Linked DNA regions of Macaca mulatta. The protein of the gene in region 2 interacts with the protein of the main gene of each other region in a pairwise test. Links are inferred from orthologs where the notes say so. Each region holds a gene or a part of one and is shown on either strand. Other genes may lie near its edges. The genes, in order: MVP, PLSCR1, CRY1, ESR2, CCER1 and RGS3.

Region 1 (4,086 bases), on a different chromosome or scaffold from region 2:
GGTGGGAGGATTGCCTGTGCCTGGGAGATCAAGGCTGCAGTGAGCCATAAATGGAGCACAGGAATGCACTCTAGCCTGAGCAAGAGTGAGGCCATCTCAAAAAAAAAAAAAAAAAAAGAAAAAAAGTGACTGCTTCAAGTCAAAGGTATTAGAGACTGGAAGGTTTCTGGTGCACAGTAGGAACTGGGAGGAGGATAAAGATCAGTTCCAGGCCAGGCGCTGTGGCTGTAATCCCAGCACTTTGGGAGGCCGAAGCAGGAGGATCGCCTGAGCTTAGGAGTTCGAGACCAGCCTGGTCAACATGGTGAAACCCCGTCTCTACTAAAAATACAAAAATTAGCCGTACATGGTGACAGGCACCTGTAGTCTCAGCTACTCAGGAGGCTGAGGCAGGAGAATTGCTTGAACCCAGGAGCAGAGATTGTAGTGAGCTGAGATTGCGTCATCGTACTCCCACCTGAGGGACAGAGCAGAGACTGTCTCAAAAACAAAAACACAGCTCCGATTGCAGGCTGCTCATCAAGGGCAGGGAATTGCACTCATTCTCCTCCAGCCCCTTCCCTTACCCAGGTCCAAGCAGCCTCCTTTGTCTCCAACCCCAGGGCTCTTGCTCCAGGCCGTCCTGAGGTTGGAGGCGAGGTCGGTGACCTGGCCCCGCCCCCAGACCTTACCACAGCTTCAGGTTCAGGAAAAGGCACATGAAGTTTGGTATAAACAAGGACACAACTTCACGGAGTTTCTCACTGATTTAAATATTGTAGTCTTTAGAGAATGGGTCACATGACTCAGGAACTGCCAGCAGCCTGTTTTCACCCAGCAGCTTCCTGGTTTACCCCCTTTAGGAGACCATTAATGGAAATTGAGAATCTGTCTCACTTTTTTTTTTGTTTTTGTTTTTAAGCAGCACAGTTTTAGGAATGATTCTTCCCAAGGAAATTGTTTGTGAGCTCCAGTCTAACTGGGCCACTTTGTGGGAAGGGGAGCAGCCTGGTGGCCTTTGGGAGGTGAGGGGGAGACAGAACAGCTCAGCCAGCCCAGACCTCCACTTGTCCTCCCTCCCTCCTCCCACCCCTGCCAATTAAGACCAGTCACCAGAGGCAAGAACCTCCTAGATCAGAAGCGACCCAGGAACCAGGCTTCAGAACCCCGATCTTCATTAATTATTTTCTAAACTTGCCTAATCATAGAACTGAGCTATAATTCTTTAAAAACAAAACAAAACAAAAAACCACACACACACAAAACAGAGACAAGGGTCTCATGTTGCTCAGGCTGGCATGGAACTCTTGGCCTCAAGCCATCCTCCCACCCTGGCCTCCCAAAATGCTGGGTGCCTGAGCCACCAAACCCAGCCCTGGGCTGGAATTCTTAATCCCGCTCCCGCTGCTTTTTGCAGGCCTCACTTCTGACCCACTGGGTCTAGGTTTCCAGGAGAGAGCCTCTTTCCCTGTGTTCCAGGCAAACGCCCCCCAGTAACAACTCCCATTTCCAATGAGCTTAATCTGTGCCAGGCAGTGTTAAGTGTCCTCTGACTCATGTTATCCTCACAATGAACCTGGAAGTTAAAAAACTTGCCCAAGAGGACACAGTTATCAAAGGATGGAGCCGGAAGTCTAATCTGGGTATGACTGTAGAGACCACAAACTAGGAGGCAGTGGCTTCTCAGGCAGAAACAGGAAGATTCTAAGCCAAGAATAAGGACTAGAGGACCTGGGTGGGGCGGGGTACTGCCCAGATGGCGCCAATGGCAATTCAAAGGTGAGTGTTTCCTACAAGCTGAGCCAGCGCCCAGCCTCTGCTCCCCCACAACCTGGGAAGGCGGCACCCAAGATAACCTGAGCACCCCGTTACCTTGGAGCCCTGAGGCTGTCTCTGGGCCACCCACTCAAGGTGGCCCCCCTACCTGCTCAAGGCTACAGAGGGCTGTCTTGCCCAAACAGCCACACCCCAGGGCCAACCCAGTGCTGTGTGCCAAGGGAGTTTCTGAGAGCCACCTGATACCCCACGTGACAGCTGTCCTTTCCCCCATCACCCAGGGGCCACCCAGGCGGAGAGCTGAGAACACAGGGGCCATCAGCCTCGCTATCACCCCCACCCCCAAGTGCTTCACTCCCAAGGGACAGCTCTAAGCTCCCCAGAATCTCAGGCTGGTGGGTCCAGCTGAGCATCCTAGTTTTCACTTTCTCCTCCCAAAAAGGAAAGAACCTTGGCCACTAAATTCTACACCTTCTGGAAATCACTCTAATGACTTCCTGAATGACTGACGGAGGCCAACAGCTGGCCCAGCCCTGCGTGGAGCAGAAACAAACCTTATCTGTCATAGTTAAGGGCCCTGAATGGGGACAGGTCAGAGCCCAGGTCCCAGGACAGTGCAGGCAAGTAGAGCAAGCACCGATCTAGCACTAAGATGGGGTCTGAATGACCCTGTAAGGTCCCCCACCTGATTTCCCATGTGGGACCCTGAAGTCAGAGAGGGGCCCGAGAGTTGCAGGGGGCTGGGGGATGGTGTTGGTGAGTTAATCTGCCTTTACTTCAAAACCCAGAAAACCCCAACTATTGGAAAGTGAAACCTCCCAAAGCAAAGCCACCGCCCATCCTCCTTCCCCGCTCTGATTCAGACATGTTTTCCCTGCCCCAGCAGAAGCAAGGCCCTTGAAAGCAAGACAGGAATAAAGAGAGCCTCGAGGGATACAAAGATCTGCCCCTGATTTGGGGTTTGGGGGGCTAGTACAATGTACTCACATCTAGAAGTGCAGCTAGCTGCAACCAACGCCTTGGATGGGGAACTCTCACCCAGCCTAGGGGATCACTTCCCAGCAGGGCAAGGCAGGCCAGGCCCAGGGGTGGGGCTTGGGAGTTAAAGAGCCCGTGCAGCTGGTTCTCATTTTATCCTCCGGGCTGCCTCTGCTGCAGCTGAGGGCGCACTGCTCCCTGCGTGCTCATGAGTTTCTGCCTCGGAGCCAGCTGCCTGCACTGGAGTGGGACTGGGAGGGGTTGGAGGGCCCGAGATGGGGCAGGTGCGCCTCTGCCCATCTGGCATTCATTTTCCAATCTGGGTGAATACAATTCTGCCTCTCCCTTGAAGTGGGGCCTAAATGTTGAGCTCCAGCTACAGCCCCTCCTTTTAAGAGATGATAGCTCTGGATCTTTTATTTCAGACTCAGAAAATTCAGTCCAGGTCTCCGAATAGGTGTTCAATAGAAAACACACACACACACATGCTCACACACTCTACAGGTGTTCAATAGAAAACACACACACACACACACTCACACTCTCTCTTCCTCTTTCCTGCAATGTGCTGTTTGGGAGCTTGAGGTTTCTCTCTTCTTCCCAAGTTTCTCAGTGCCTGGGCTGGGGAAGGAGGGCCCAGGCCCCAGCAGGTACAGACACTGCAGCCTAGAGGCAGGAGCAGTGGGAGTCAGTACTTCCGCTGCCGAGGGAAGAGACTACTCCCGGAGGATCGGAGTGGGGGGCTGGCAGGGCTGGGGTCTTCCGAGTCCAGGCTGAAGAGGTCTCTCCCAGTACGAAGGATCTGCTCCTCCAGCTTCTTGTGTCTCTTCATGTCCGACAGCACTTTGTCCAGGCGGGCCTCCCGTTTCTGGCTCCGGGCTGAGCTTCCTGGAGAAGGGGAAGGTAAGATACATGGAAGAGATGGAGGTGGTGTGCACCAGACCTGCCTGGACTTCACTCATCACTTGGGGAGTTGGTTAAACATGCAGGTTCCCAGGCCTCTGTCTTGGAGGACCTGAGGTTCAGGGTTGGACCTCAGAGAGAGTGAGCAGCAAAGATCCTGAATGACAGGAAGGCACAGGTAATGTGAAGACCAGGGAGACACCAGACAGGCGAATGGCAAGAGTAAAGGCCCTAGGACAAGAACAGAATTCTGTTCAAAGAAGAGTGCAGGCCGGGCATGGTGGCTCACGCTTGTTAATGCCAGCACTTTGGGAGGCCAAGGTGGACGAATCACGAGATCAGGAGTTTGAGACCAGCCTGGCCAACACAAAAAATTAGCTGGGCGTGGTGGTGGGCGCCCGTAAATCCCAGCTACTCGGGAGGCTGAGGCAGGAGAATTGTTTGAACCCG
Region 2 (4,191 bases):
CAAACATTACTGGACAGCTTCTTTGAAAATGGGGAAAACCCAATGATGAGACAACAGAAGACTCTAAAACTGCTAACAAAAATAAAGCCACATTTAAAGGAAAATGCCAAGAGTCCTACTTAAATTACAGGTTCACTGCAACAGGTGGTTCACATTCTCCAACCCTGCTTTGTATAATATGTGATGATCGACTATGCAATGAAGCCTCGAAACCTGCAAAACTGCTTTGCCACATGGAGACCAAGCACCCTGCGTTAAAAGACAAGCCTTTGGAGTTTTTTTGTTTTGTTAAAACAAACAAACAAACAAACAAAAAAACAGAAACCATGAAAACATGAACACAAAGAACACATAGAAGCAATTATTGAAGGCCACCACGTCATCAAATGTGTCTGCACTGACAGCATCAGTATATATTACAATGTAACAATAATAGAAATAAAGTGCACAATACATACAATATGCTTGAATCATCCTGAAACCGTCTGCCACTCGACCCTGGTCCATGGAAAAATCCTCTTCCGTGAAACTGGTCCCTGGTGCCAAAAAGGTTGGGGACCACCGGTTTATCCAGGGTCATCCAGGTTGGAGTAGGGTCAGGAGATATGGGGAAATTTAGGTCAAAGAATTCAAAGTTACAAACATGTAGGATGAACAAATGGGAAGACCTAATGTACAACATGAGGGCTATAGTTAATGATCGTGGTATTCAGGATTTATGCTAAATGAGTAAATTAGAGCTGCTCTTGCCCCAAGGGGGGAAATGTGTAATTATAGGAGTTGATGGATATGTCATACGCATAACTTAAATACAGACAATAAAAACTATTTTAGTTTAAAAAGGAACAATATTTATTAAAAAATAAGGTGAGCTCTTAAAAACATTTAAATAACTGCCTAAAAAAATAAAAAATAATATCACATAATTTAATAGAAGGAAAGAAAGAGCAAGACAGCAAGAAAGAAAAGGCACCATAAAAAAAAACAATTTTGACCACTCCTCATTTGTAGTCTAAGCTGCCTCTGCTTCCTTGCGTTGAAAAGCCACGGGCTTCCGAGGGATGGAGGTCAAAGTCAGAGTAAAGAAAGTTCCCGGGGGAGGCCACTCCCCAGCTGATGACTTTCCAGTTCCAGTTAGTGACAGAGTCCCAGTTCCTCTCCTTAACCACCGGTCAAAAGTCTCTGGAGTCTCTCCAATGAGCAAGAAAGCAAGTCGGGGGTAGGGGAGGGGCCTCACAACTGGTGGTGGGTGCAGTCCCTCCTCCAGCTTCTTCATCCTGCAATAGTCCCGCGGGTCCCCCGGCGCGAACGCGGGAACCAGGAAAAGGAAACCGCGTTGTGTACGTAAGATCCAGGAAACTAAACCAGTAGCCGCGGCTGTTGGCGCAAGGGTTACTCGCAGACCCTGTTCCGGCTGATTTCCGAGAAGGTTGCGCAGTAGCCGTGCCTTGCAGTCTAGAGGCGCAGGAGAGGAAGCCACCGCCTGACCCCGGCTCTCTAGACCTCGGCTCTCTCGGGAGCGGAAACAGCGGCAGCCACAGGTGCGCGAGCGGCTTTCTCTGCCGCCTCCCCGGGGCTCGGGCGCGAGAACTGCGCGGAGCCTGCGCTGGGGCCAGGGCCGGGATCAGGTGTGGGGGCCAACTTACGGGGAACGGGCGCGAGGGCCAGCCGGTTGTGTTTGCTGCTCTGGGGGTGGAGGATGTGGGGTGAAGGCTGGGGCCAGAAATGCAAGAGACCTCTGAAAGGGACCCTGTAAGTGGAGCAGATGCACGGCAAGGGGCCCCAGGCGGCCCAGCGGCACCTGGGCTCACCCAGAATCATTCGAATGAAAAGGGGTGTCCTGCCTGAAAACGCCTCGCGGGGCTCGGCTTCCCCTTAGCTACACTGCTCTACAGGCAGAGAGCGGCGCTGAATCCTGGGCAGAGACTGGGCTCGGGAGCATGTGCCAGCATAGTGGGGCTATTAGAAGGGACGGTTAATACAGCCTGCAAGCTGGCATTTATCAGTAAGTATTCACTGAAGTCCGCCTGGAGCCCACATCTATGCTAAACCCTCTACAATACTAGCTTGGAAAAGATAGCGGCGGTATCTAGCACGGTTCCTAAGACCATTAGCTCCAGTCAGGCTCCCCGACTTGAAATTTGGCCTCTACTGCTTCACATCTGTGGATTGTCAGCCACTTTCTTAATATATATTCTTTCCATTGCCTCATCTCTGAAATTGTGTAACTATTAAAAGAGCTACAGAGTATTATATGTGTTAATGTAAAGTTCTTAGAGCAGTGCCTGGCACTACAGAAAGTACTCAGTGAAAGTGAGCTTTTATTATTTTAAATATTTGACAAAGTTCCTGCTTCTCCAAGCTGACTCTCCGGTTCCCATGTGGTTTCATTCATGCACTGTTATTCCTGGAAGTCTTGGCATGGCCACTTCCCAGTTCCAGGAACAGGCAGTCGTTGTTTTTTTTCTGGCTTATCACATTGAGATACATGGTTACTACAAGTGACACTTAAACGTGTCAGGCAGTTTGGGGCCTCCTTTCTTGAACTTTTCCTAAGAGCAAACTTTTCCCTTAATGCCACCCTGTTTACAACCATAGTAGGGCTTTGAACAACGAGAAAATGCAGGGAAATGAAAGACATATAAAGGGAAATGAATGGATTTCTGCAGTTGGATAGCAAAGTGGCATGTGAAATAGCTGGTTTATAGATCAAACTGCCTTTAGATCTGTAAAGGAGCTTAGAGTACAGGTGGAGAGACATCAAATGTGTGCGAGCAGACGCTTATGTACCTCTCCGTCTTCATCTCTAAGAATGTCTCCCTCTTCTGCTCTGTAACCTCACTGGTCTTCCTTTCCTTGAATGAGGCATGTTCCTCCAGCTCAGGAATTCTATCTATGAAGTTCCCTGTCTCTATAATGCCCTCCAACACCCCACCCACCATACCTCCGTAGACTAGTTGATTTGAGATTTCCTTCAGCTCCCAGTCTGACTTTTCTTAAACCCCCTACCACTGTTTAAGTTAGTGTCCTGTAACCCTTTCTTGTAGCAACATTAATTTTATTGATAGCACTTAGAGTGTTTATAATAATCTATTACATTCTTAATTGTCTGTCTCCCTAGTGTCTAGGTATTGTGCTCTAGTGCCTGGTATAGTGCTTTGCATGCTCTATGCCTTCAATTAATTCCTTAAAAACCACACCAGCTTTATATTTAGTGAATATTTATATAGGAAGTATTTCTATATGTATATATGTGTATCTGTGTATATACACACTCTATAGCACTACCCTGAATAGTGCTAAATTAAAAAGCCAAAACACTTTTTAGTTAATCAGAACTAACAGTTGCACTCTTCAGTTTTCCATATGTTCTTTTAATAAGTCATTAGAAAAAAATGATGTCTCCATATGTTGTCTGCTGCTGTAGCAGAATACCTGAGACTTGGTAATTTATAAAGGACAGAAATTTATTTCTTACAGTTCTGGAGACTAGGAAGTCCAACATAATCATGTGTTGCTTAAAGACAGGAATACATTCTGAGAAATGCATCATGAGGCAATTTGGTGGTTGTGAGAACATCATAGAATTTACTTACACAATCCTGGATGGTATAGCCAGCCTTCTATTTAGGCTGGGGTGGTGGCGTGGGGGGTGTTGAGGAGAGTCAGATTGAGAGCTGAAGGAAGTCTCAAATCAATTAGTCTATAGACGTGTGTGTGTGTGTGTGTGTGTGTGTGTGTGTGTGTAGTGGTGGAGGGCATTATAGACAGAGGGAACTTCACAGGTAGAAGTCCTGGGCTGGGTGTGTGTGTGTGTGTGTGTGTGTGTGTGTGTGTGTAGTGGTGGAGGGCATTATAGACAGAGGGAACTTCACAGGTAGAAGTCCTGGGCTGGGTGTGTGTGTGTGTGTGTGTGTGTGTGTGTGTGTGTGTGTGTGTGTAGTGGTGGAGGGCATTATAGACAGAGGGAACTTCACAGGTAGAAGTCCTGGGCTGGGGGTGTGTGTGTGTGTGTGTGTGTGTGTGTGTGTGTGTGTGTGTAGTGGTGGAGGGCATTATAGACAGAGGGAACTTCACAGGTAGAAGTCCTGGGCTGGGGGTGTGTGTGTGTGTGTGTGTGTGTGTGTGTGTGTGTGTGTAGTGGTGGAGGGCATTATAGACAGAGGGAACTTCACAGGTAGAAGTCCTGGG
Region 3 (3,500 bases), on a different chromosome or scaffold from region 2:
AGCTGGGATTACAGGCGCCTGCCACCACATCCAGCTAATTTTTGTATTTTTAGTAGAGATGGGGTTTCACCATTTTGGCCAGGCTGGTCTTGAACTCCTGACCTCGTGATCCACCTGCCTCAGCCTCCCAAAGTGCTAGGATTACAGGCATGAGTTATCACGCCTGGCCTAAACACTTAATTTTATGCATAACACTGAGTCTCCCACCTAGAAGCAACTGTTTTTATCCTGTTTTGCCCCCTCCTTGCTATGAGCTCCCTAAAGTTAAGCAAATTGGTGAGCTCTAAGGCAAGATTATTATCAAAAGATACATGAATTCTAGCTTAGCATCAAGTAAGACCTTTGTGTGAATCAAATCATGATTTTTTGATACATTTAAAATGTGAAATCAAATCAACTAGTTTGTCATGTTACAGAATTTGTTTTACTAACTTGATAAAATCTATAAATTACTAAAAAAGTAAAATGATTTAAAAGGTAAATAAATTATAAGATTTCAGTACTTAAAAGGACAATGGTATGCCAAAAGTTTAAAAAGTTAACAAGTTTTATAGACCTCTAAGACTCATAGCATACAATACTCCCTAAATTTAAGTTTGACCACAGAATTTCTGTGGGACAAAGCATCACCAAGGACTGGTGTCTGAAGAAATACACTTTGAGAAATATTCTATTATGCTATTGTTCAGAGGACTACAGCTATGCAATGTTATATTACATCCAATTTGTATCTGGATTTAAAATCCAGATAGACAAGATAGATATACATGAAATAAGATAACATTAAACAAGCATACAAAATATGTCAAGGCAATTTATAACTATGTATAACTATAAAATTGATAATGCTAAGAGCCCAGAAAGGCAAGACCACAGGAGGCTGAGTTAAGAGTAGTCAAGGAAAATTCTGTAACAGTCTTAATCCATAATAGTTTTGAAATAGAAATGCTGAGACCTGTCATTAGGTCAATAGCGGCTAAATAAAATGCTAAGGATTTGACATATGTTCACTTAATTCTCCCAAAACTCTATGAAGTACACGCTATCATTTCTACTTCACAAACCTCAGTTAAAAACTTATCTATGTAGTTAATATCACTGAACTATATACTTAAAAATGGTTAAGATGGTAAATATTATGTTACATGCATTTTCTCACAGTAAAAAAAAAAAAAAAAAAACTCACTTGTCTAGGTCATACAATGTATGTGAAATTCTTACAATGACTTCTACTCCAGCTTCAGTTGCCAGTTTCTTAATAGCTGCATCTCGTTCCTTTCCAAAGGGCTCAGAATCATACTCAATTGAAAGTTTAGTAATGTTCCATTCCTAAAGTAACAGAAGGGGGAACAATGTACACCAATTTTAATAGTTATTTTTTCTATCATAACAAAAAGTGAAAAAGCTGAAAATCTACATATCAAATGATTATACATAAATCAAACTTTGAATATGCAGGAAAAAGTAAACAATTTATCAATTAAAAAATACGTAAGTAACAAATGCATAACCCATTAGATTCCAGGCTTTATGCTAGGCAACAGACAATCTAGCAAAGCAATATGCTTAAAACCAGCTCTTACACTAAATGTGTTTGTAGAACACTTTACTTTTTCAAATTACTCATACTTACATTATTTCATTCGAGCCTCAAAACAACACTCAGAGTTTGGCACTTTGGTTAGTATTTCCATTTTGGTTTATTTTTAAAACTTAGGGATTTGCCAGAGTTCACAGAGAGCCAGACCACCTGAATTTATGTCTGTTGAGTCTAAGACCTGATCTTTGACAAACTTTTGATAGTTGATATGGTATAAGCTGCCTGGCTGAGGTCGTGTGTGAGTGTGTGTGTGTGTGTGTGTGTGTGTGTAAATATTTTCTTTCTGATTACTAAAAAATGTTAACTGAAAAATTTGGAGATGGTAATAATAATAGCAGTTACTTATTATCAGGAGCTATATTAGTAAGTTCTGTACATCTCTTTACACTGATTTTAAATGAGGAAACTGTGACTTAAAGGAATTAGTTGATTTTTCTTAAGCATAATTTTTTTTTTTTAAATTCTAAGTCTATTCTGATTTATCTCATAAAGAAAAAGTTCTACCATTGTTTAACTGCCTATATGGTAACATACTATATAATTCACCAAACACCTCCTGATTAGACAAGGGCTGTTTCAATGGTGGGTTAAAAAAGACTGCTATTCTAGGCTGGGTGCGGTGGCTCAAAACTGTAATCCTAGCACTTTGGGAGGCTGAGGTGGGTGGATCACCTGAGGTCAGGAGTTCAAGACCAGTCTGGCCAACATGGTGAAACCCTATCTCTACTAAAAATAAAAACATTAGCTGGGTGTGGTGGCACATGCCTGTAATCTCCCAGCTACTGGGCAGGCTGAGGAAGTAGAATCACTTGAACCAGGAGGTGGAGGTTTCAGTGAGCTGAGATTGTGCCACCGCACTCCAACATGAGCGACAGGAGTGAGGCTCCATCTCAAAAAAAAAAAAAATTGCTATTATAAACTTTACAGTATATATCTTTACCTTTATGCATACATCTTACAAATTTTAGGGTATTTATCCAATTTTTTCCTAGAAATAATCCCTTGGAAAACAACTGATAGATCAAAGATAAGCACATTCAAAATTCTGATAGGCTGTCAAATTAAGGTACCCGAAAGACTGTACAAATTTACATTCCCATCAGCAGTGCACCTAAGTGCTTGATCTCCACACACTTGCCAATAATATGTATTAGCAATCATTTTTTGTTTTTTGTTTTTTAAGATGACGTCTCACTTTGTCACTCAGGCGGAAGTGCAGTGGCATGATCTCGGCTCACTGCAACCTCCGCCTCCCAGGTTCAAGCCTGCCTCAGCCTCCTGAGTAGCTGGGATTAAAGGCACACACCACCACAACTAGCTAATTTTTATATTTTCAGTAGAGATGGCGTTTCGCTACGTTGGCCAGGCTGGTTTCAAACTCCTGATATCCATCTACCTCGGCCTCCCAAAGTGCAGGAATTACAGGCGTGAGCCACCATGCCCAGCCAGTAATTGTTTTTAAATGTCTGCTAAACTACTAGGAAAAAAAATAGTATCTCATTAAAAATTTTTTCCGTTCTTAAAAGTCCTGAAGAGTGCACATCAAGAAATTAAGGGCTGTTGACTTTCAGGAATAAAATTTGAGTGTGTAAATAACTTTTACATTCTGCAGCATTGCTCAGATTTGTTAGTATAAACTTTCTATTTTTGAAATTTAAAAATAAAATTAAGATGAGAATAGAAAAGCATTCTATTTATTTGTTTTATAGTGAGGTGGTATAGAATAGTTTAAAAACACAGGATCTAATAAGTTAGACTTCCTAAGTTGAAAGACTGGCTCAACTACTTAGGCAAGCTGCTAAACTCTCCATACCTGTTTCCTAGTCTATAAAATGGGTAGAATAAGTAAGGTGCAGAGACAGTGCCTGACACATAATAAACCCTATGTAAGTATATGCTA
Region 4 (3,500 bases), on a different chromosome or scaffold from region 2:
AATTTGAATGACCCTGCTTTCCTTTTCAGGCTCCCGGAGAGAGAGATGTGGGTACCGCCTTGTGCGGAGACAGAGAAGTGCCGACGAGCAACTGCACTGTGCCAGCAAGGCCAAGAGGAGTGGTAGCCACGCGCCCCTAGTGCGGGAGCTGCTGCTGGACGCCCTGAGCCCCGAGCAGCTGGTGCTCACCCTCCTGGAGGCTGAGCCACCCCATGTACTGATCAGCCGCCCCAGCGCGCCCTTCACTGAGGCCTCCATGATGATGTCCCTGACCAAGCTGGCCGACAAGGAGTTGGTACACATGATCAGCTGGGCCAAGAAGATTCCCGGTAGGGCTTTCGGGCTATTAGTTTTCCGTGTACTTGTAGAAAGGCCTGCTGCTAATATTTAAAGGACAAGAGTATAAAGTAGAGGTCTGTGAGCTGTGCCTAGATATTTAACGGTTTCTCAGCTGGATTTGTAACTTTTGAGTGCAATATGTTCCTTCCTCCCGTCTTGGCATAGCTACCTTCAACAAGGCCACGTTCTGATTTAGAATTCTGAGACGACTCTGAGTTCTGTACCCAACATGGTAGTGAAGAAAGAGTTGTGCGTGGCCCAGCCATTTCTATTCTTGACTCTCTTCTTTTCCTGTGGCTAGATGCTTCCCATACTACCTGGCACAAACCCTATCCTGTGTGTCCACATCTGCTACAGACACTCACCTGTTGGCCCCCTCTCATGCCTAGAGGTGGTCTGGGAGGATGGACCCAGGGAACCCACCCAGACTCTGGAACTGGGCTTGGGGTCATTTGGGCAAGAAATCCTAGAGTTCTGGAACCTGGAACGTGGTTAAAAGGTAGACTCTACATTGCCCCATTTCTTGGCTCTGGATTCCTCACCTTGAGAGGAGGGGCATGGTTGGGTAGGGTGGGGTAGAGTACAGTATGACTAGTTTGAAAGTGAAAGGTTTGTCAGATGCTAAATAGAATTTTGTAAATTATTGTTCCAATAGAGAATCAGTATTATATACACAAATGAATATGTATGGACAAAGAGAGTAAATCAGTGGTTGAAGTTACACGAATCATCAGTGGGCCCATAAACTTGGAATGCCATCAAGTTAAAAATGAGCTTAGTTACTCATGAGTTATCATTTGGAACCTGCATTTTCCATCCTCTAAAGTGATCACTTCTCCCAAGCCCATTTGTAATACAGACCTGAAGTGCTGTATGATGCTGAAATTACCAGCTAATTATCATTTGACGTGGTGTTTCTGTGAAAGAGTGAATCTAGGATTCTAACCTAAAATGGCAACATCCCACAATCCCCCTGTGAAAGGTTCTCCATGCCCTTCTTTACAGTCCTTGAAGAAATGAAGCCTCTTACAAGTTCTGAGCCACTGGGGGCGTTCCCATGGCCTGGAGGGCAACGACTGCACTGGGCAAGCTGTAAAGATGAGGAGGGGCGAGAAGCTGGGGGAAGAGAAGTTTCGGGTAAAGAGCCCAGGGAACTGAGGCCTACGGTGACAGTATCATTTGGGGACTTTTGTTGAACTGGGCCCATTTCTTCTGAGCTTGCTGAGGATTTTTGGTTTCGAGTTGTATTTTGTTTTGTCTATCATCTTCACCTTTGCCAGAATTATTTTTTTTCTCTGCTTTTTCCTGGAGGAGGCAATCCTGATGCACTTTCCTCTAGTTTTTGCTTTAAGTGTATTCCAAACACGATTTCGCAGGACCACACACGGAGAGCAGTGATGAAATTAATTATTGCTGAAAGCTGTGCCCCTTCTTTGTGCCATAAGAAATCTGAACTCTTAAACTGCGTTATTCCTTATTCAAGCCTGGTGTTTTGAAAAGTTTTCAGGAAACGTAGGCATAGTCTGGAGGTGTGATTTTTCCCCCTCTCTTACCTGGCATGGTCATTGTCCAAACCCAAAAAAAAAAAAAAAAATTAAAATATCATCTAGCCTTGATCTTGTTGAATATCTACAAGGTTAAGAGCCATGATCTCTTGGGTAGGCTTATTGTCTATTACTGTGGGTGAGATTGGGAAGGTGTATACATATTAGGAACCTAAACTGAGCAAAGCATGTGGATTTAGAAAGTATTTATCCGTCTTTACACTCATAACACCATTACATTCTCCTTGAGACAGATTTACATTATAATTGTTCAAAGACTTGAACACTTATGTTCTCTCTGCCATAGTTTCCTCATCTGTAAAACAAGAATAAGAGATCTTGCCTATAGGACATTCTCAGAGATAGGCATTGTTACCTCCATTTTCCTATAAGAAAAACAAAGATTTAATGGGAGATTAAGTGACCAGCTAGAAAGAGGCTGAGCTGGAGTTCAAACCAGAGTCCATTTCACTCCAAGGCTGTGTCTTTTGTTGCCATATTTATATTAAATGGCCGTCTCCTTTTATCATGGCTTGTGAAGGAAGCCCCGGTGTTCTCTGCTTTGCTTTTGAAGTGCTTCCTTCCCCAGAGATTACCTGTTTCCAAACAGTACTGTGACCAACATGAGTTATTAGGTTGTCAGGACCTGCTTTGTTATTATATTTGCTCTTTATTTTATTTATTTATTTATTTAGACAGGATCTTGCTCTGTTGCCCAGGCTGGAGTGCAGTGACATAATCTCAGCTCGCTGCAGCCTCGACCTCCCAGGCTCAAGCAATCCTCCCACTTCAGCCTCCAGAGTATCTGGGACTACAGGCACCTGCCACCATGACCAGATAATTTTTTGTAGAGATGGGGTTTCTCCATGTTGGCCAGGCTGGTTTCAAACTCCTGGGTGCAGGCAATCCACCCGCCTTGGCCAACCAAAGTGCTGGGATTACAGGTGTGCGCCATTGTGCTTGGCGATATTTGCTGCTTAGGATAGAATCGCCCAGAAACAGTGCTTCTACCCGGAAGGATCTTAACACTGGATGGGAAATTTTAAGCAATCAGAGAAATCCTTGAAGTTGAGGCCTTGGCTTTCTGTGGGGGCTGACACTGCTGTCTGCAAGCCTCCAACCCCAACCTCCACCTACCCCATTCCCCCACCCCTTCTGATCCCAGTCAAAGATTGGGTCAGACAGGCAGCTCCTCTGACTGGCAACCAAGCATCAACCTTCTCAGTAGTGCAGAGGAATTATCAGGACACAGCTAACCAAGATCAGTTCTGAGCCCAGGTCATCACGCTTGACAAACTCTAAATGAAGTATATTTGTCTCTAGAAGGGGTCCAAGACTGGAAACTGAGTCACGCAGCTTAACTTCAAAGTTTTCTTCCTTTAATGAGTAGTCAATCATATCTATAAAATATCGATTCCCTAATGGTTTGTGTTTTCTTAGTGTTTTAACACTTGCCATTCTGTCTCAACAGACACAGGTAGCTGAGGAGGAGGGTGCGGGTGTCTCACCGCCTCTTGCTTTCCCCAGGCTTTGTGGAGCTCAGCCTGTTCGACCAAGTGCGGCTCTTGGAGAGCTGTTGGATGGAGGTGTTAATGGTGGGGCTGATGTGGCGCTCAA
Region 5 (4,010 bases), on a different chromosome or scaffold from region 2:
ATAATAAAAGTAATGCCAAATTTTCTTTGAAAAAAAAAATAAGCTTATTTTGGTTATACATGATAATTTAATAAATATATTTGAGAAAAAAAAAAGGTAGTATAATCGTGGTATGGGTAAGGAAACTGAGGCTTACAGAGATAAATAATTGGTGAGTTGAAGTTGAACCCCATTTATTTAAATTAAAACCCATATGCTTAACCACAGTGCTTTAAAGGCTTCCTGTGTACAGACTGTATGGTCAGTGAAGGGACAAAAGGAAAAACAATCTGAATATTCCTCTTCCCAAGGACAAACCTGTGGTATTCATCCTGGTAATAATAGTATTTGTTTAATTGAGGTACATGTGTATGGTATATTACCGATAACAAAGTACGTTCCCAAATGCATGTCATTTAGTTATCACAAGGGTCCTACTGATGGTTTGGTAGAACATACAGCAATGCCATTAAGAATCTAACTTTAGCATCAAACAGGCTTAGGCTTAAATAGTAGCCCGAAAATGTATTAGCCCCACAACCATGGGGAAATTAACCCCTCAGTTCCCTCATCTGTGACAGGTGATAAGATACGCCTACCTCTCAGGGTAGATGACAGGATTATGTGTCAGGAAGCACATGCAATAATAAATGTTTGTGGCCTTGTTTTATGTATTATGAATTCCATTTCCCCGGAGTAAGAAGAGTTGGCACCGGCCAGAAAGTAAGAGGTTGGGCCAAGTTTTCTTTCTCCAGTAATTTTCCATTAATTTTCTATTAATACAAAAGAGGTGATATAGTACATGTAAAGACACTTGTGCTTGATGTAAAAATAGGCATCCCTACCCTGGCTTTGTCATTTTACCCTCCAAAGGTGTAGAATGTGGGGTTTTCAAAACTCAAGTTCTCCCGCCCCCACCGGGTTCAGATGAAGGCCCATCTTCTAAACCCCTGCCTCAAGGTGACACAAAGCTTTCGGATAAACTGCCTCCAGACGTGCTTGAATTGAGCAGCACAAACCCAGCCTGAGCCCCTCTTCGCCTCCCCCAAACGCTACGTCACAAGCCCCCTGCGAATGTTCACCTAGAGCCTGGTTCCAGCCAGAACCCGGTCTTGCACACAGGGAGGACGATTTCGACCCCAATTGGCTGTTGCCCTGGGCGACCAAGAACGCGGTGGGCACGCGGGAGACCACAGCCAGTATTTAAAGGCTGCCGCTGCCCTCGCCACCCCAGTCCTGCCAGGACGGCGACAGTGAAGCACCTGGGTTGAGAGGTAGCAGCAGGTAACTGCGCAACCCCTGCCTCCCCCGGCCCCAGCCCGTGCCTCAGCAGAGCCGGGTGTGGGGGGGACCCGGGAGTGGGTCTCACTGCGTGTCGCCTGCCAACACCTTCCTCCCCCACCATCCTTGCCCAGCCCCAGTCCCACCCAGCACACCTGGGTGAGACAACCCAGGTGCGAAGGACAAGCGATTACTACCGAAGAGCTCGCAAACCAGGAAGAGAGCGGCCTCCTGGAGAGAAAACGTGATCCCAGGGGTAGACACGTGGCACTGCGTGGAGAGACAGGGTGACGAGACGAGGCTCTTCTGACCGTCCTATCTGGCAAAACTTGACGACAGCTTCTGGGTCGCTACCATCTAGACCTCTCAGAGCTCCCCGAACGATGACTCAGACCCTCGACACAAGGGAAGACCCTCTGAACCTGGGCGGCGGTGGCTGGGCACACTCGGCCTCCTTGAGCTCCTGGTCGTCCTGCCATCGAAGGCGCCAGGGCGCTCCAGTGTACAATAGGCCGCACCGCTATAGCCCCAAGACCGAGTATGGGCCCCCAAGGAAGCAGCCGAAGCAACAGCACGGCCCGGGCTTTTGGTTCCAACCACCCGTGTGCTTTAACTGGGGGTGCTGGGGAGGGCCCTGGCGCCCACCCCCTCCAGGATTCCGGAAGTTCCATTGCCCAGTGCAAGTGTTTCGGGTGTATGGCCTGCACCCTCTCTGCTTTTGCTGCTGCTCCTGCTGGAACGGGTCCTGGAACCCTAGCTGGGCGAGGCCCCCAGGCAGGAAGAAGCGCTGGGGCCGCAGGGGTCGCGGCCTGCGCCACCACCCTCGCCGCTCCTCCCCGCGGAGCCCGCCAGCGAATGTGAGCACGCTGCCGCGGCCGGTCAAGCTGTACGAGTGGAGAGAGCCTGGCATGCGAGCGCCGCCCAACACCACCCAATTCATCATGAACCAGATCTACGAGGACATGCGGCAGCAGGAGAAGCTGGAGCGTCAGCAGGAGGCGCTGAGGGCGCAGAAGGCCCCGGTGAGCGGCGAGGCCTCCCCGGCCAGATCCTCCGGAAACGACGCGCCCCCTGGCGGCAGCGAGGAAACCTGGGGACTGCAGGAAGCTCTGTATGGCTTTGTGCAGAATCCCTCTCTAGCATTCAGTCCTAAATCAGAGGAAAACCAGTCTCTTGCCCCGTTGCTGGTGGAGGAAGAGGAGAAGAAAAATGATGATGAGGAGGAGTATGACCAGGAGGTGTGTGATGCAAAGGAGGTGAGCGAGGAGGAGGAAGAAGAGGTTGAAGATGAGGAAGAAGAGGTCGAAGATGAGGAAGAAGAGGTGGAAGATGAGGAAGAGGAAGAGGTCGAAGATGAGGAGGAGGAAGAGGTCGAAGAGGCTGAATATGTGGAGGAGGAGGAGGAGGAGGAGGAGGAGGAGGAGGAGGAGGAGGAGGTAGAAGGGGAAGAGGAGGTCCTGGAGGAGAACGAGCAGAGAGGGGAAGAATTTCATTTGCCTCTGGAAATGCCTTTATCAATCTTCGTAGAGGCTGAAGAAAAGAGAGAGAACTTTATAAGCTGCACTTTTTTAAACCCAGAGCAGATAATTCCCAAAGTGCCACAGGAATCCCTGTTCACTGCACAGGACTTTAACTGTTAGACATCAGAAAAGGGATTGAGGAAAGGGATGGAACTGATTTGAGGCTAAACTGGATTAGCAATTTATTAAAAACTGATTAAAAAGTGAGTTCCATTAATAAACAGATGTAAACACCTTCTTTGGCCATTATAAAATGCTTAAAATTTGATGCGTATGTGTATGACTATGGGTGGTGGTGGGGGAGCTTTCAAATATAATTTTACTGGAACTGATTAAAGGCCAAGTATTTTATTACTACCATTAGAATATTTTCACCTGGTGTTTTCCCCACTAGAAAACAAAGTTGCTGTTTTTTTTTTTTTAAATCTATAAATGCTGGAAAAGCGTTTGTTTTTGAACAAATTTATACAACTTAGCCACTTAATGAGCTTGGCATGAAGAGATAGTTTGTTACATGCATAAGAAAGCACATTCTAACGCTACTGAATGTTCACCAGTGCTCTTAACATAACTGAAGCCATTTTCAATCCCTGTATTTTTTTTCAACAATATTTTACCTCGTAGATTTTTCCACCATCAGAGTTCATTTTTGAGGGCTGTATTTTGTTAACCCCATTTGCAGTCTCTTGTGGCATCGCTTATTGATATTCCTTGTTCCACAGTGCTATGGATCTTCCTCAGAAAAACATGAAGTTGCTTCTGTGGAACTGGTTATCTGCCATGGCCTCAACAATCCATAATCCAGTCATGGAGAGGATTCCCCATGGTTAGAAGTCAACTTGCACATCTAGTTAAAGTCCAAGGTAACTGCAAACAATGGAACATAGCTTAGGTTTTGAAGCCTCTTTATTGGATAGAGTCTTTATCCTAAGTTCTGAGGAGCCATAAAAAATGTTTTGCAGAATAGATTTTTTTAGAGAAAAAGATTATTGACCTTTTGGGGGTAGAATATCTTACTTCATTTTTCAATTTGTCTTTGTTATAAAGGAGAGTAAAAGATGTGTAAGCGTGAGTCTGTGTGAGCTGATTTCTGATGTCTAAACAGCAATTACTTATGGAGAATACATCATTCAAAATAATAGCTTTTGTTCAAACATTTTTAGGAAGTAATAATACATTTCTTCCTGGACAGTTGATAAAAGTTCCATCCATAGCATATTTCCAGAATAT
Region 6 (4,224 bases), on a different chromosome or scaffold from region 2:
CCCAAAGGGAATTCAGATCAAAACAGTTTTGTCTCTTTATATTTCCATAGATGATTACGCTCCCTTTACATGTCTGTGTTCAGGAAACTACTAGCTAAGCAACATCTTCACCTGGTTCTACCAAGGCAAAGCTCACTGTATAAGGCCAGGGGCTACCTACTATGCTAAGGAAAGGCCAGCGGACTGAAAAACTTAGCCAAAACCTTCACAGTAAAAGTGGTCCCCACTGGCTACAAAACTGACGCTGAATCCATAGCTTCCAAACCTGGATGACAGACAGTCAGAACACTCTGCGGCTTCTTAAATGTTCATATTCTCAGGATCCACCCCAGACCTATTAAACCAGAGTCTCCGGAAGAAGATTCTAGGAATCTGTGTCTTTTTAACAGGCTCCCCACATGCTTCTGATATTTGGCCAGGTTTGGAAACCACTGATAAGAATCTTTGCTCATAAGCAGATCAGCAAAGATCATAGTGGATAAAGAAAATCAGCAGCCTGAAAGAGGGGCACCACGACAAATGGCACCCAGGGAAACACAACCAGTGCAGGAAACAGGAGAGAATTTCTCAAATACTCTCAAGAGAGATGTGAGAGGAGCCTGCACAAATAAAAGCAGGTGGCTTCCCACCCCACCCAGGCTCCTGCCTGCCTCCTGCACACTCAGGTCACAGCCACTTCTTCAAGCAGCAACCTTCCCTGATACCCATCGGACTCAGCCCTGAGGCCATGGCTGGGCAGGAAGATCCACTCCCTGCTGGGCCTGAATCCTCCCCAACTTCCCAGATCTGGCAGGGAGATTAATCCAATAGAAGAACATGGACCAATGCAAGGAAATATTCACATCAGGCCACTAAGGAAAACATATGGGTTACAAAATTGTCCATACAAACTTGATCTCAATTGTATTGAAATTTGATGTCTAAATACACACACACACAGAGAGAGAAATAGGTATGGAAATAAGCATGGAAGGATATAAATCAGAAAGTTAACAGTGGTCTGTCTCCCTGGGAAGTCAGATTACAAGTGATTTTCACTTTCTTCTTTTAACTAAGTTTTCAGCAGTAAACACATGTTACCATGATAATAAGGAGGAAAAAAGCAAACACATTTTTACTTTTTAATCAGGAGACAGCTAAGGTAAGAGGGCCTCACAGCTCCCTGACACCCTTTCCTGACCACTCCTAGCCCAGCCAACACAGATCATCCTGGAAACCACCCTTGTCTCATAGAGCCCTGCATCCCAATGGGGTTAGCAGGAATTGCCTCCTAGGCTGGGGCATTAAGTGAGATAATGCAGGTAAAACACTTGACATAAGGAATGGCAATGGTAAGTGCTCAACAAATGATGGCTAGTTAATTGCCCTTTATCTTCCACCAACTGGACCAGAGAATTCCTGCTGCCAGACGTCAGGCAATTTCAAGGGGCCAAGCCATTGCTCTTCCATCATTCCCTCTACCCCTAGGGAAAAAAAGCAGGTTGTGGAAAACCAAGTGTGTTGGGCAGGAGTAAGCCTGAAAGCAGAACAGCCAGGAACCCCAGGGAGGGACCAACTCCTTGGGCAGTCTGTCTTTGAAAGCTGGGCAATGTCCAGTTATGTTGCAATAACAGCCCCAACCTTTAGAAGGAAATTGTATGCAAGTTCAAACAAAAATGCGCTGGATGGGTCATCTCTTGAAGGTTTAAGCTCAGCTACCAACTCTGCCACTGGCTCATGGAAGACTTCTTAGTTTCAAGTCTTCACAGAGGAAAAATAACCCTTCTCCACAGGGAGTTGCAGGACCAGTGAGGAAATGAAGGGCTATCCTCTAGGGTAGGGTTGCTACCTTTACTATGGCTATCAGGAAGGACAGGTTTGTCCAGGCCTTTGGGCAGCTGCCGCCCAGCTGTTATTTGGGGAAACTCAGTCTGCTACCTAGGGGCTTGGGAGTGAGGCCTGCTGTTCATTTCTTTCCACCTCAAACCCTGAGGCAGCCCTGGGACCCTCCTAAGGGATTGTTCTGTCTTGGAGGAGAGAATTCTCCCATCTCTACTGTGGCTCAGATACCCAACAAAGTCAGATTGCAGCCTCCAAGGTGAGCCTGCAAGGCAGCAGAGCCAAAGGATCCAGCACCTGTCCGCTCCCTGAGCCAAAGGAAAGTGGGTGAATGAGATCTCCTGTTGCTATAACAAGACCTTGATTTAACCTGAGCTGCTTGCTAATGAGAAACTCAGTGGTGACAACCTGGGTCTCTGAAAGATTAACTAGAGTGTGATTATTCCAGCCAAGTGAGGCAGAACCAACTGCAGTTGGCACCCATGGTCGGACAGCAGGTGGTGTCCAGCAGCTTGCTTGGACTGAGCCTGTGCCCTGAGCCCCTCCTGGGCAGTCACAGGAGAAAGGGGCCAGAGAAGGTGACCCCAGATAGAAAGAGCACCTGCTCCCAGCCTCGCCTGTCACCACGAGGGGCTGCATTTCCGGGCGCTGGGAACAGGGTGAGGCAGCCCCTGCCGCCGGCCCCAGCGGGCACTTACCAAAGGTGGTGAGGTAGAAGGACAAGTCCGGGTGGGCACGCCGGCTCCCGAGGGAGACGCGGTGCAGGGAGCGCTCCATGGCGTCCCACTGCGACTCGGACAGGAGTGCCTGAAACCCAAGGCGGCTGTGTTGCTCCCCAGTAACCGAGGCAGCAGGCTCACCGCCCCCTGCGCCGGAGTCTCCAGCGCGGGAGGAGCGCGAGCGGGAGGCAGGGCTGCCCCGCGCGTTGGAACGGCCCGGGCGCGCCCGGCCCTGATTGGCCCGCGCGGGTTTGAATGGGGAGAGTTCCACCTGCCAGAGCAGCGCAGGGCCGGGGTGGGAGAGGCGGCGCCGCGGACCCGCGCTGAGCAGAGAGGGCAGCCACCCCAGGAGCTGGCAGGACCGTGCGGCCACCCCGGGGCTCCCGGCCCCAGCACCGCGCTCCCAGTTTGAAGGGCCAGTCCCACGAGAAGCCCCAGTCCGGGGTGCCCACTCTACTCTGGGCAGGCTTGGCCTCCTGGTCCAGCTCTCCTAGACCAGCAATTAGTCGGGTTTATAACCTGCTTTGAAGCTCACACCTATAATCATTAGATCCAAGCAAAGGCAAAGGAGCACCCGATGGTCCAGGGCAATGAGGTTTGGAGAAGTGTTCTCTGTGCTTGGACAAGTTGCCCCCCACCAGGCTGCATCCTCTTCCCAAACCCTGCGTCCTGGATCACTCTCTTGAGCCTCCTCTTGAACAAGTGCTGCCTGACACAGGTCCAGATGGGAGCAGCTTGCTCCAACCAACCTGATGGCCCCCCATCCCACAGCCTGATGCCACCGGACAGCAGGACAGGCCTACAGCCTCTGAGAAAGAGGAAGGCACAGGAAACAGAGGGGATGGGTGAATCCCCCAGCCTGCTGCAGTAAGGCAGAGTTGGAAGGTCAACCCCTGTGCTGCTTTGTCGGCAAACATTTACAGGACACCTCCGGATAGCAGTTTCACACCAAGACATCTGCTCTGCAAATCTCTGACTGTTGCCACTGTGGGAAGGAAAGCTGTTAGTCTCGTAAATCTAAAAATGGGAAGTGTTGGTATTTGTCCCTGTTCCCCAGACTTCATCGCCAAGTGGATATTTGTGGTTCAGTGATCCACTCAAAAACAAGATGGGGAGATGCAAGAGAGAAAGTGGAGAGAAGAGTTATGTGTTGAGTACCAGATGCCAGAGGCTGAGCTGGGCAATTTACACATATCATCTCAGTTAATCTTCACAGTATGTCTAATAAGTATTAGCCCCAATTTACCAGGAAGAAATCTGAACCTCAGGCAGAGAAGACAGGTGACATGCCCAAGGTTTGTAGAGCTAGGAATAGGCACAGCTGAAATTTGAACCCAGGCCTGTCTGCCCTAAACACCATTGTCCTATTCTTCCTTGGCCTCCACATCTGCCCCATGGCCAACAGCAGGTGCAGAGAGCAAACGCCACAGGGTCAGGTGGCCACCAGTGAGGAACAGAAACTGGAGAAGGAGCCCTGAATCAGCAAACTGGTGATAAGTCACATAAATGCCATAGGATTGTTTGAATCCTGGCACTTCGTGAAGTCCTACCCTGCTCTTTACTGTACCCCCCACCCCGCTCTCCCCCTCCAACCCCAGTTACACACACACACAGTGAACACTGCCTTTAACAAGAGCAGGTCCACTCTCCTAGCCTCAAGCCAATGACAGATGGACTTACCTGCACC

Evidence for each region.
Region 1: the proteins of PLSCR1 (region 2) and MVP interact in a two-hybrid assay, tested with the Homo sapiens proteins (2 studies listed by BioGRID and IntAct). The link is inferred for Macaca mulatta from reciprocal best matches to the Homo sapiens genes PLSCR1 and MVP.
Region 3: the proteins of PLSCR1 (region 2) and CRY1 interact in a two-hybrid assay, tested with the Homo sapiens proteins (2 studies listed by BioGRID and IntAct). The link is inferred for Macaca mulatta from reciprocal best matches to the Homo sapiens genes PLSCR1 and CRY1.
Region 4: the proteins of PLSCR1 (region 2) and ESR2 interact in binary tests that used the Homo sapiens proteins (3 or more experiments, as listed by UniProt). The link is inferred for Macaca mulatta from reciprocal best matches to the Homo sapiens genes PLSCR1 and ESR2.
Region 5: the proteins of PLSCR1 (region 2) and CCER1 interact in a two-hybrid assay, tested with the Homo sapiens proteins (2 studies listed by BioGRID and IntAct). The two-hybrid records come from large-scale screens. The link is inferred for Macaca mulatta from reciprocal best matches to the Homo sapiens genes PLSCR1 and CCER1.
Region 6: the proteins of PLSCR1 (region 2) and RGS3 interact in binary tests that used the Homo sapiens proteins (3 or more experiments, as listed by UniProt). The two-hybrid records come from large-scale screens. The link is inferred for Macaca mulatta from reciprocal best matches to the Homo sapiens genes PLSCR1 and RGS3.

The regions. Positions count from the first base shown.
Region 1 is NC_133425.1:28,746,393-28,750,478, forward strand, and holds the start of MVP (major vault protein), read right to left. Parts: upstream 2,801-4,086; 5' UTR 2,743-2,800; exon of another isoform or gene 1,353-2,742; intron 128-1,352; exon of another isoform or gene 1-127. UniProt on the Homo sapiens protein: Required for normal vault structure. Vaults are multi-subunit structures that may act as scaffolds for proteins involved in signal transduction. Vaults may also play a role in nucleo-cytoplasmic transport.
Region 2 is NC_133407.1:49,526,796-49,530,986, reverse strand, and holds the start of PLSCR1 (phospholipid scramblase 1), read left to right. Parts: upstream 1-1,391; 5' UTR 1,392-1,541; intron 1,542-4,191. UniProt on the Homo sapiens protein: Catalyzes calcium-induced ATP-independent rapid bidirectional and non-specific movement of phospholipids (lipid scrambling or lipid flip-flop) between the inner and outer leaflet of the plasma membrane resulting in collapse of the phospholipid asymmetry which leads to phosphatidylserine externalization on the cell surface.
Region 3 is NC_133416.1:114,206,172-114,209,671, forward strand, and holds part of CRY1 (cryptochrome-1), read right to left. Parts: intron 1,330-3,500; coding exon 1,187-1,329; intron 1-1,186.
Region 4 is NC_133412.1:137,370,590-137,374,089, reverse strand, and holds part of ESR2 (estrogen receptor beta), read left to right. Parts: intron 1-29; coding exon 30-329; intron 330-3,410; coding exon 3,411-3,500.
Region 5 is NC_133416.1:98,241,613-98,245,622, reverse strand, and holds the start of CCER1 (coiled-coil domain-containing glutamate-rich protein 1), read left to right. Parts: upstream 1-1,210; 5' UTR 1,211-1,643; coding exon 1,644-2,561; intron 2,562-2,606; coding exon 2,607-2,900; 3' UTR 2,901-4,010. UniProt on the Homo sapiens protein: Regulator of histone epigenetic modifications and chromatin compaction into the sperm head, required for histone-to-protamine (HTP) transition.
Region 6 is NC_133420.1:44,857,290-44,861,513, forward strand, and holds the start of RGS3 (regulator of G-protein signaling 3), read right to left. Parts: upstream 2,801-4,224; 5' UTR 2,596-2,800; coding exon 2,517-2,595; intron 1-2,516. UniProt on the Homo sapiens protein: Down-regulates signaling from heterotrimeric G-proteins by increasing the GTPase activity of the alpha subunits, thereby driving them into their inactive GDP-bound form.